Linked DNA regions of Struthio camelus. The main gene of each other region encodes a partner of the protein of the gene in region 2 in a complex. Links are inferred from orthologs where the notes say so. Each region holds a gene or a part of one and is shown on either strand. Other genes may lie near its edges. The genes, in order: PIGH, PIGP and DPM2.

Region 1 (3,744 bases), on a different chromosome or scaffold from region 2:
CTTTATGTCAGTACCAGCCAGGTGAAATGAAATATTCATTAAAAAATACGAAAAGGAACACGTTACAAAGATCCATTAATTAAAGTCTTTGTATACAAAGCCAAGTCTCCAGTTTATTAGTTTTTGATAATATCATGTACTTAGGTGGCAAAGAACCAGAAAACACTGCTTTAAACTTTGCAAAAATAAATCACTAACAAGGCTGTTTTCAATTAAGAGTCTGTAGCTGAGGACAGCACAGACAATCACAGAATCACAGAATGGTTTAGGTTGGAAGGAACCTCTGGAGATCATCTAGTCCAACCTCCCCGCTCAAGCAGGGCCACCTAGAGCCCAGGATTGTCTCCAGACAGGTTTTGAGTATCTCCAGCAAAGGAGACTCCACTACCTCTCTGGGCAACCTGTTCCAATGCTCTGTCACCCTCACAGTGAAGAAGTTTTTTCTCAGGTTTAGGTGGAACTTCCTGTGTTTCAGTTTGTGCCCGTTGCCTCTTGTCCTGTTGCTGGGCACCACGGAGAAGAGACTGGCCTCATCCTCTTGGCACTCCCCCCTTCAGATACTTATACTTACAAAAAGAGGCAGATTTTTTTTTATACTAGAAACTGGCAAACGGTTAAAAAAAAGTCCCTCTTCATCATGGTAAAAGACACACAAAAGGGCCTGTGTTGTTCAACCCTGTTATTAAGACCCCAGAGGGAGCAAACAGGGAATTATCACGTTTGCAAATCGTAGCGGTTACCGATGTTGATGCAGATTAGACAAAAAAGCGCTCCACAAGCTTAACCACGCCCGCCAGGCCGGCTGCCCCGCCACCACCCGGACGAGCTGGGGCGGGCGCAGCCCCCGCGGGCCACCTCGCTGCCGGACACGCTCACTGCACACGCGCGGCGCGCCCGCGGGGGGGGGGGGGGGGGAGCTCCCGCCGGGACGCCCTTTGGGGCTCAGGCCGGGGGAGGGAGGCGCCTCGCCCGCTGCTGCCGCTGCCGCTACCGCTGCCGCCGCGCCCTGCGCACGCGCGTGGCCGTGGCTTCGCGCCCCGCGCTCCCCCGCGCGCACGCGGAGGGAGGAGCTCCCCCCCCCTCGCCGCGGAGAGGAAAGCACCGGAAGCGAGGGGAGCCGCACCATCGAGACGAGGGCCGGCCGGGCCGCTCTAGGCCTCGCGCATCGGCGGTTCCGGCCGGGCGGCATGGAGGAGCGGTGGTACCGGGCGGTGTCGGGGGCGCCCATCGCGCTGCGGTGCCGCCAGCACAGCGCCTCCTGCCGGGAGCTGGCGGTGCGCGGCCCCCGCCTGCAGCTCCGCTCGCTCAGCGCCGTCACCTCCTCGGTGTGGCTGGCGGCCTACGGGCTCTTCGCGCTCAGCGAGGTACCGCCCTGCGCCTCCGGGGCCGCGGCCCGGCCCGGCCCTGCCGCTCGCCGCGGCCCCGGGGAGCCCCCACCCGCCGGGCCGGGCCGGGGGGGAGGCGAGGGGGGTCTCGCCGCCGGGCGCCCTGCCGAGGGAGCGTCGTTGCTCGTGCCTCGCTGGGTCGGGGTGGGCGCGGCGCGGCAGCCGGCTGCTGGGGGCCCGCTGGCGCAGCCCCAGCGCCCCCGGCCGCTTCTCGGAGGCCCCGGTTGGTTTGTAGCTTGCCAGCTAGGGTAGATTTACGCGTGGGCGCTAGCGCGGCCTTGTGAGTTTACTCGGAGAGAGGAGGTGCGGGGACGTGGGGTGCAGGGTCCCTCCAAGGAGGTGAGTGATTCCTAGGAAAACCCCTCTGGGATTTTTCTGAGTGGAGCAAAGAGCACTGCACTACGAATGTCATTTACTTGCTCATGTTGCATAGTTGAGTCAACAAGACCTTGTCAGACAGTACAGATTTCAAAAGCGGCTGATAAATCGACAAGTATTGGCTTAGATATCTGATCTTTGATCCATGCTAACAGAGGAGGACTGCCTTCTGGACTCAGACCAATACTTTCACCCTGAGATTAAAGTCAAGAGCTTGGCTTGACTGAAAAGGCTGATCCCTGTGACCAGCACTATGATACACATCGCACTTCAGCTTTCTCAATAATCTTTCCCAAAGAGTGGAGACGGGGACTGAGAGACATAAATCAATTGGCAATGTTTCTGGTATGAAAAGATGGCTCGTCATCCTCTGGCTGGAAGGGGAGTTGTGGTCCAGTCTTATTTTTTACAAAAGCATATATCCTGAGCCAGCAGTTACCACCAGCTGTCTTCCTGCATGATTTTAAGTGAGTGCATGCAGCTTGTACGTAACTAACTGATTACAATCCTCCCTTTCTGCCAGGAAACCAGACCTGAAGGTCTTCAGCCTCTTTGTAGATTTCAGTGTCTGTAATTCTCCACTGATTTCACCATGATGACGAGCTCTGGGAGGAGTCCAGTATCCTTTCTCTTTGAATGCAGGCATGGCTTCTTTACCTCATATAGTGGTACAGTCACTAGTTGAGCTGGAGGGCCATGTAGCTCTGGTCCTTTGGGAACTGTCAGTTATGACTTTGATTTACAGGATGTGGCCTTTGGCTCTCTAAAACAAGTCCCAGAGATAGGTTGTAGGTTGAGAACATTTGGGATGTATTACCAGGTCTTCAGATGACTTACTGTTGCTTATAGTTTTATCAGTTAGACGTTATTTTATGTAATAGCTAGCAATCCCAAACTGCAGCATGCAAAAGACAGATTGTTCTCAGGCAAAGCTCGGAAGAAAGCAAACAGTCTCTAGAAGGGAGATGAAGTTTGAACAAGTTTAGACTCTCAGATTATAAGAAGAAAACTTGGATCTCCTAGGTCTTAGTCCAGATCTTTTAGCAAAACAAATTCTTTCCGCTCTGAGACTCCACCCTTAGCTCTAGTAAACATTTAAAATTTCTCTATTAGGTTGACATCACTTCTACAGATGTTTGTATGACATGCTGTCTTCTCTGATGCTCCTCACTGTTTTGAATGGAGTTTCCCGCACTAAATTTAGACGTGGATGAAGTTTTGTTGCTCATTTTGGTTTCAGTTCCCAATTCCTTCAGATCATACTATGGAGACTTGTGTTTGGTAATTTAAACCTCATTACCGGCCCAGTGAGTGCCCTGCATACATAGAGGACTCCACTTAATTAAAACTGCCATATAACTGTAGCCTTAATATTGTGGTTTACTCTGGAACATTACTTTGTATAAAGCAGTGTGTTAAGACTGGCGCTCTGTCTTTCCTTGGTTTGTGTTACAGAATAGTATGGTGCTTTCTGCTGCTATATTCATCACGCTCATCGGCCTGATTGTATATCTGCACTTTGTGAAGATTGACCAGGAATCACTGTTAGTCATTGGCTCACTCGGCATTCAGGTGACTTCATCCTATGCTTCAGGGAAGGAGAGCACAACCTTCATTGAGATGAGTCAGGTGAAGGATGTGGTTATCAATGAAGCCATCCACATGGTAATTGTATACAGTCTTTCTTCATGTGTATCTTTAGGCACACTTTGATCCAGCATGTTTTCATGAGAGTGGTTTACCAGAGAAAGTAAACACAGCAACATCTATAGCTTTGCTGATGTCAGGGGCTTTGTTCCAGATTTCTCTTTTTATTCTATCATCTGTTTTCTTACCTTTCAAGGAAAACTTAAAGCAAATATCCTCAAAAAGTCAAATCCATCCCTTAGATAATGCACTGAGCTACTGGTTTTAGTTCTTCCTGTTACACTGTTCTTATAAATTCCGATGTAAAACTCCGTAAGTATTCAATAAACCATAA
Region 2 (3,744 bases):
AAGATATAGCCGATTGCTAGAGTAACTAGTAGATACGCAGGCAATGCAACTGCCCAGTACCTGAGAAATAAGATTTTAAAATTTACTTATCATAATAACAAAATGTCTGGTGACATAACATTTTTAATGTACTGGCTGTTATTGTATACAGCACAAACTTAGCTGGGACGAAAAGAAACACCACCACTAAATATGGACCCTGGTTCCTCCCAGGAAGACTACTAACTATGGAGTCACTGTAGCCAGCCTGTTATAAACAGTCACACAAACTCCTTATAGATGGCTTTTGTTTTTTATATACAATTTAAAATTTATTGTATTTCCATCGGCAAACTTGGTTAAGACAGAATTCCTAACTTATCACAAAACACTGAAATAAATACTACTTCTTTCATTACACAACAAAATATTTTTTATCGTAATTACTTATCGGTATAAAGTAATGCTTCACAAAAACGATAGCCCTTTATCATCAGGAAAAATGTATCAAATGCAAGGCCACCATTTAAAAGATACATGTATAGTTTCGCTATTTGCTATTTGAAATTAATTCAGGGTGTTATAAATGTACGTCTATTCAGGCTTAAGAGTTTAATTGTTTGAACTTACTTTTGAGGCCAGTATGTTAGTCCCAAAGAGAATAGCCAAGTCTCAGGAACGTATGCCCAGATAAGATACAGAACTGCACAAAGAATTAAAAAATCAAAACAGTGCAACCGATACTGTTTTAGACTTCTTCCTTAAGTTTTAGAGCAATACTTCCATACTGATACATACTGTGATAGTGTTTCACTTTCACACAATCTATACCCAGGTAGCTCTAGCATGACATTGCAGAATATATCGCTCATACACAAAACTTGCCGAATATGGGGACAATGTTTTGTACCTCATTATATGCTACCATTTTTGTGTTTAACATTTAGTTTTTGATTTCCTGTGTAGGCAAGACAAGAATTTCATGCAGTCTTGGAACTACAAAACAAAAAGATTCTGCAAAAGCACGCCAAATGACTCTCTGCATACAGACAATATTAAATTACAAAGTGATTATACAGTGGGTCATACGACTAAAAGAGGTGGTAGAACGGCAGGGCTTGGATGGAAGAACTGAATTCAGAAAAAAATAATTACTGAAAATATTTTCAGTCTCTTGGTAAGTTTAACAGTGATCTTCATGTTAACATAACCAACATTGAAAATCTTTCTCCCTAACAACAAATTCAGAGTAAGGTTTAACAAGAACTGAGATGAAGAGTTTAGTAGCCAAACAGTGACACAAAATCTGGAACTGCAGAGGCTTGCTCTGTAGAACTAACACTGGGAAAAACGGAAGCCAACTTAGTTGCATTGCCACTTACCTCCAAGAAACACTGAAGACTTACATAAGAATCCTACTTTTTTGTTCAACTACAATCTATTTGCAATACCTTTTCATTTGTTGAAAAGGTGTTCTCATTTAATTCACCCTTTCTAGGCTATCTTAGTCCTGTGTGGGCATGTAAAACATCCCCAGAGAAATGCTACAGCATCTGTCACATCAGCAGAGAAAGCTGGTAGGGCTGGTCATTTTCCTTTGCTGTTAACCAGACGCGCCTTAACCTTTAATATCCAGGGTTTGGGCACTTGGGGGGCTGGGGTGGGGACGCTGCGGTTACACAATAGCAACTGTATGTGTAATTCAAGTAAAAAAGTTACTAAAATTAGAATGCCGAGAATTTTTTAAATAGGCACTTAATCCCATAGTAGTATTAAAGACAGACAAAACATGAAAGGATCACAAAAGGTAATGCTAGATTCTCAAAACATCTCACAGATCTGGCAAGAAATTGTAATCGTCACCCTTTTGAGATGGTCCAACTGGAATTACATTTCTCTCCTAAGCAGAACAATACTTTCCAGTGAATTATTCAGTACACAATATACTTACTAAAGCCAAACCAAGATCCTAAAAAAAGGGCAAAGCCGTATATTGCTCTTTCTGGCAATGGGGCTGGAGAGTTTTCAACCATGCTGGTCTCTTCCCTTTAACTTCGGGGGGGAAAACAAAAAGAGAAGTATTACAGGTTTGCTTGGTAAGTCTCGCTACGAATTACACGCAAGTGCGGGGATCCGGGGGGGGGGGGGAAACACGACAACACAAATCACTTATTTACCTCCCATGCAGACGTGACGCACCCCACACCAACCGGCGCCGGTGGCCACCTCCCCCCTCCCCGCACGCGCCTGCCGGTGGCGGGAGAGCTGCGCATGCGCTCAGCCCGCAAGGCCCCGCGCGCCGCTCAACGGTCGGCCGGGAGCCGCGGCGCTGCCGACCCCCATCTCCCACAGCCCTTCCTTCCTTCCTTCCTTCTTTCTTTCCCCTGCTACCTGCCTCGGCCGGCTAGGCCATTCCGCCCCCTTCCCTTCGCGTTCCTCAGGAAGGAAACCACACCCAGGGCGCCCTTAAGGACAGCAGGAAAAGAGGCGCCGACCCGCCTGACTTGCCCCTCCCCTTGGTCGCCCGGCGCCGTGTATCTGGCGCATGCGTAATCGGAAAAAGCGCGCTTCAGCACCGCCTCTCCCGCTGCCAGCTCCCGCGGCAAGCAGACGCATGCGCAAAAGCTGCGAGTTCGCGGCGGCCGGAGACCTCTAGCCCAGCGTTGGCTCTCTCCCTTGACGTCAGAAGGCAGCCTGCCAATAGCGGGGCCAGGGCGGGTGAGGGGGGGGGGCTGGCACGTGCGGGGGGAGGGGCCAGCGTTGGGCCCAGCGGCGCCGCGGGTGGCGGTTGGTCTCGCGCTGGCCGTGGCGGGGTCCGGTGAGTGGCGGGCGTTGAGGCCGGGGCGGGCGCTCCCCTCCCCCTCTGCGCGCGGTGCCAAGCTCGTGCCCCTCCCTTGCCCCCGGCCTCCGCCTTGGGGCCGGGAGGGTGACGCCCGGCCCGGCCCGCCTGGGGCGGGCTCCAGCGCAGCCAGTGCGGGGGGACGGGAGCGGGCAGGGCGGTGTGGCCTCGGCTCCGTGGGGCTGCGACACGTCGCTGGTGAGAAGCGCGGCTGCTGCTGGGGCCGGGAGGTGGCGGCGAGGCGGCCGGGCTCCGCGCAGCGGCCCGCGGGTTGCGGTGGGGGGCGAGCTGGCAGGAGGGGGAGCGTGGCTCTGGGCGACGGGAGGCCTCCGCGGTTCTGTCACGCGGGGTGTTTAGAGCCGCTGTCTTTGGATGTGGCAAATGGGGCTTAGTTGCTGTTGCACCCTTCCCCGGCTGGTAGACACTGCCCTTCCCTTTCCTGCCTGTTAGGCGTGAGGCAATAGGAGTGCTGTCAGGGACCAGGCGCTTGCAAAACTGTTGGAGTTGTTAGTCAGTTTAAGTAGTTTTTAACTTGAACAATTATCTAACGCTTTAGGATGCTTTTCTTAAGTTTAACTATGTCACGTAAAAATACGAGTGCATGTTTTCTGTGAAGCTATCACAAATCGTAATGTCATGTTGTGATCATTTTATTTCCTGTAAAGTAAGTGCATTCCTTTCCTCTCTCCCCCACCCGCGTGTGGTTCTCATAATCTTTTTTTTTTCAGTATTATGCACCATGGCTGAGCCTATATCCGAATCTGAATCTGCGGCCATGGCTTTTTATGCTGGTGATAAATCTTGCTGTGAACTGGTAAGTAGGTTTGGAACTAGATGAAAGGCTTGCAAGATGATCCAATGGGTTTTATACCTAGGTATCATCTATAGACTGATTATTGATCTGGATGAACTTTAACTAATGCAAA
Region 3 (3,744 bases), on a different chromosome or scaffold from region 2:
TTCCAGGATTTCCAGGGAGAATACCACTCATCACCCCAGCTGATTTGTCGGGGAAGTGGACAAACTGTCCGGCTCGCAACCAATTTTCTAGAGCTCCATGTTCCCTAAACTCTTCTCCTTACTGGGCTCCAGATTTAGTAAGTAGAGTCTCTTTTTATACTTCCCCCTGTCACCTCCCACCAGAACCAGGAATCAGAAGACAGCAAAAATGAACATTCATGACAACAATCCTTATCCGACACCTCCAGAATGGCAGGCTTTAGCTCTCGATGACTGTTCAGGTCAGTCTCAACTTTTACACTGGCCAAACCTGTCTGTCTCAGAGCAGCAGGGCAGGTGGCAGAGTCTAAGCTTGATCTTACCCAGACAAGGGCAGGCACACCTAGAAAGAGCAAGGTGTGCACCAGCAAACTACAGGAAGTTCTACACTGACATTTTTCACCAGGAAGCTAGCAAAGCAGAGTTCTTTCAGACACAAGGACACATCGGCACCTAAATAAAGTCTAGGCAAACACAGCAGCCAAGTTACCGAGATTACAATAGGTAGAGCAAGACCCATACCAGTATGATGATCCAGATGGTGTAGTAAACAAAGAGAACAAGGCTGAAGGCTACCAAGCCAAATCCAACCACCTGGTCTGTTGCTGTGGCCTGCAAAGTAAGAGAGAGTCAGAGCAGGATCAGCACGTTGTGGTGTCTGAGCAGGAACAGTTAACGGGCATATGCTATTTATCGTGCTCCAGCTTATAAGAACGTATGGCTGCAGTACTGAAAGAAAAAAAGAACGCAAGGGAAGAAACCTGGGCAGCAAAAATGATTTATCACAAGTGCTTCAGTGAGAACAGCCGTGCCCTCCTGCTCTGGAACGGTCAGGGATTTCGTGTCCTGCCGCTACAGCAGACACACAAGTTGTACACTCCAGCAATTCTGACGAACTGCTTTGAAGTACTAACTCCCAGCCCACACCAACACAACCCTCTGCTGAGCTCCAGCAGGCTTCAGGCTACCTGGTCCGATCACTGCAACAGATAGACGGAAACCCTGGAAAAGCCCAGACAGACTGCCGGGGACTGGGAGGGGTTCAGACTCTCTATCCGTAAGCCTGCAATGCATAAAGCGCCACACTTCGGAAGGCATTGTGCTATTCGGGCTATTTCCTGAGGAACACGCAAAATGAAGAGTCGGAACATTTAACACCATGAAAACCCCAGTACTTGTCAGAGGCAGGTACTCCGGGCCAAATTTCAGTTTGGCCCCTTCTAAATTGCCTCCCTCTTCAGCTCCAGAGTAGTCTTCACACTCAGTGCCTTCTCTGTGCTAAAACAGCGTTAAAGAGGACGAGCCATGACCCAACTCCATTGTGACACCAGCGGGTCAAGTATGGACATGCTGAGGCTCACTGCCTCCAAAGGAGCTCAAAGTGCCATTCATCACAAAGCCAGGTCACCCTGGGCCACTGGGCACTACAGCTACAGGAGCGAGGGAGCTGGGAAGGAACTGGGAAGACTGGCTAATACACCAGGGGGCTGTGCTGCCAGTCGGGGACCACCACAGCCTGGAGAAATGGGCGGAGAAGAACTTTCCGAAGTTCCTCAACAGTCCTTCAACAAAGAAAAGTGCAAAGTCCTGCACCTGGGGAGGAATACCCCCATGCATTAAGAAAGGCTGGGGCCACCTAGCTTGAGAGCAGCCCTGCAGAAAAGGACTTGGGGAGTCCTAGTAGACACAAAAGTTGGACATGAGCCAGCACTATGCCCTTGTGGCCAAGAAGGCCAATGGTAACCTGGGCTGCATCAGGCAGAGCATTGCTGGCAGGTCGAGGGAGGCGATCCTGTCCCTTTACTCAGCCCTGGTGAGGCCACACCTGGAGTGCCGGGTCCCAGGCTGGGCTCCCCAGTACAAGAGAGACATGGAGCTCCTAGAGCGAGTCCAGCGGAGGGTCACAAAGATGACTGAGGGACTGGAGCATCTCTCATATGAGGAGGAGCTGAGAGAGCTGGGACTGTTCAGCCTGCAGAAGAGAAGGCTCGGGGGGACGGGATCTGATCAGTGTGTAAAAATATCTGATAGGAGGGTGTCAAAAGGACAGGGACACACTCTTAGTGGTGCCCAGTGACAGGACGAGAGGCAAGAGGCACCAAGCGGAACACAGGAAACTCACTCTGAGCATGAGGAAAAACTTCTTTACTGCGAGGGTGGCTGAGCGCTGGAACAGGTCGCCCAGAGAGGTTGTGGCATCTCCAGCCCTGGAGATAGTCAAAACTCAATGGGACACAGCCCTGAGCAGCCTGCTCCCGCGGACCCTGCTCCAGCAGGGGTTGGGGCAGCCGATCTCCAGAGGTCCCTGCCCACCCCTACCGCTCCGTGATTCTGGGAGAGATGCAGGGGAAAGGAACCAGCGCTCACAGCTGGCCCCCAACCTCCGCGCTCCTGAGGCCCGAGGAGGTCAAGGGGGAAACGGCGCTTGCAAGGCAAAGCGGAGGGGGCAGCAACTCCGCACTGCCCCACAGCGAGGGGGCAACAACCCCCTCAGCCCCCTGCTGCCCCACAGCGAGGGGGCAACGACCCCCCCACAGCGGGGCAATAACCTCCCCCCACCTCTTCCGCCCCACAGAGGGAAACACCCCCCCAAAGAGGGGCAACAGCCTCCCCCAGACCCCAACGCCCGCACGGAAGGGGCAACAACCCCCGAGATGGCGGGTTCCCCCCGCCCCAGGCCCCTCACGACGGCCCGGGGGCAGCAGACTCCCCCCCGCCCACTCACCATGGCGACGAGCAGCTCCGAGTTCCCTCCCCGCCAGCAGCGCTCTTCCGGGAGCTTTCAGCCAATCAGCGAGCAGCGTTTCAGCCACGCCCGCCCGCCGGGCCTGACGGGAGCAAGCCCGCCGTCACGCTCGCGGCAGACAGCCAATCAGCGGGGAAGGGCTCCGGCCCCCACGGCATTGTGGGAAATGTAGGCGCGCCCCCCACCCTGAGCATCACGGGAAGTGTAGTCCGGGGGGAGGGAGGTGGCCACAGGGCCCTGAGGCTCCTTTAGGCTACTTCTTTATTCCAACATTTTAATTCACCACTTCCTACAGTAACCGCACTTTAATTTTAATATCGACCTAATTTTATTTATTAATAATTTAAATATACATTTTATTGTTCTTACTATTTTTAATTTGATACTTAGCAATTTTTAAAGCGGTGCCCCGCAGCCGGGGGCAGCGGGGCCAGACCGGACCCCCCTCAGCTCGCAGTGCCTGGAGGCGACGGGCAGGGCCGGGGGCCGCTCTGCCCCTCGCCAGGTGGCCGCCGTTTCGGGCTGCGCCGCTGGGTCCCCGTCGCTTCGCTGCAGGGCGGCAGGAGGGCGTTTCGCTCCTCGGCGGGCGGTTGGGGAAGGCGGCGGCGGCCGCCGTGCTCATCCCCCTCCCTTTGCGCGGCCGCAGGCCCAGCTGGGATAGATCTAGCAGGGAGATGTCCAGGACTGTGATCGCAACCAGAGAGGGAGTGAGGGGATTTATGAAAAAATAATTTCCCACAAAACCCTGAACTACTACCATTTTGAGATTTTTTTTTCTTTTTTAACCCTTAAGCAGTGGACTTTGCCAACGACCCCCGGGCTCGTGGTTGCCCAGGGCCATGAGAAAAAAGGGGACACGCAAACAGGAGGAAAACGCATCAGAAAAGCTCTGCTGCTGCCCCCCCCTTACATCTTGCCACAGGGACAAAGCCAAGAAAACCTCTGTCACCGCAGTTTCT

What was found.
Region 1: PIGP (region 2) and PIGH share a complex: the UniProt entries of both Homo sapiens proteins name them as parts of the glycosylphosphatidylinositol-N-acetylglucosaminyltransferase (GPI-GnT) complex. The link is inferred for Struthio camelus from reciprocal best matches to the Homo sapiens genes PIGP and PIGH.
Region 3: PIGP (region 2) and DPM2 share a complex: the UniProt entries of both Homo sapiens proteins name them as parts of the glycosylphosphatidylinositol-N-acetylglucosaminyltransferase (GPI-GnT) complex. The link is inferred for Struthio camelus from reciprocal best matches to the Homo sapiens genes PIGP and DPM2.

The regions. Positions count from the first base shown.
Region 1 is NC_090946.1:46,555,405-46,559,148, reverse strand, and holds the start of PIGH (phosphatidylinositol N-acetylglucosaminyltransferase subunit H), read left to right. Parts: upstream 1-904; 5' UTR 905-1,187; coding exon 1,188-1,364; intron 1,365-3,218; coding exon 3,219-3,428; intron 3,429-3,744. UniProt on the Homo sapiens protein: Part of the glycosylphosphatidylinositol-N-acetylglucosaminyltransferase (GPI-GnT) complex that catalyzes the transfer of N-acetylglucosamine from UDP-N-acetylglucosamine to phosphatidylinositol and participates in the first step of GPI biosynthesis.
Region 2 is NC_090942.1:122,278,563-122,282,306, forward strand, and holds the start of PIGP (phosphatidylinositol N-acetylglucosaminyltransferase subunit P), read right to left. Parts: upstream 2,600-3,744; 5' UTR 2,371-2,599; exon of another isoform or gene 2,157-2,370; intron 2,032-2,156; 5' UTR 2,013-2,031; coding exon 1,931-2,012; intron 683-1,930; coding exon 610-682; intron 61-609; coding exon 1-60. Other genes in the region: E3 ubiquitin-protein ligase TTC3, read left to right, coding at 3,558-3,632. UniProt on the Homo sapiens protein: Part of the glycosylphosphatidylinositol-N-acetylglucosaminyltransferase (GPI-GnT) complex that catalyzes the transfer of N-acetylglucosamine from UDP-N-acetylglucosamine to phosphatidylinositol and participates in the first step of GPI biosynthesis.
Region 3 is NC_090961.1:7,728,831-7,732,574, forward strand, and holds the start of DPM2 (dolichol phosphate-mannose biosynthesis regulatory protein), read right to left. Parts: upstream 2,763-3,744; 5' UTR 2,171-2,762; coding exon 2,162-2,170; intron 652-2,161; coding exon 562-651; intron 1-561. UniProt on the Homo sapiens protein: Regulates the biosynthesis of dolichol phosphate-mannose. Regulatory subunit of the dolichol-phosphate mannose (DPM) synthase complex; essential for the ER localization and stable expression of DPM1.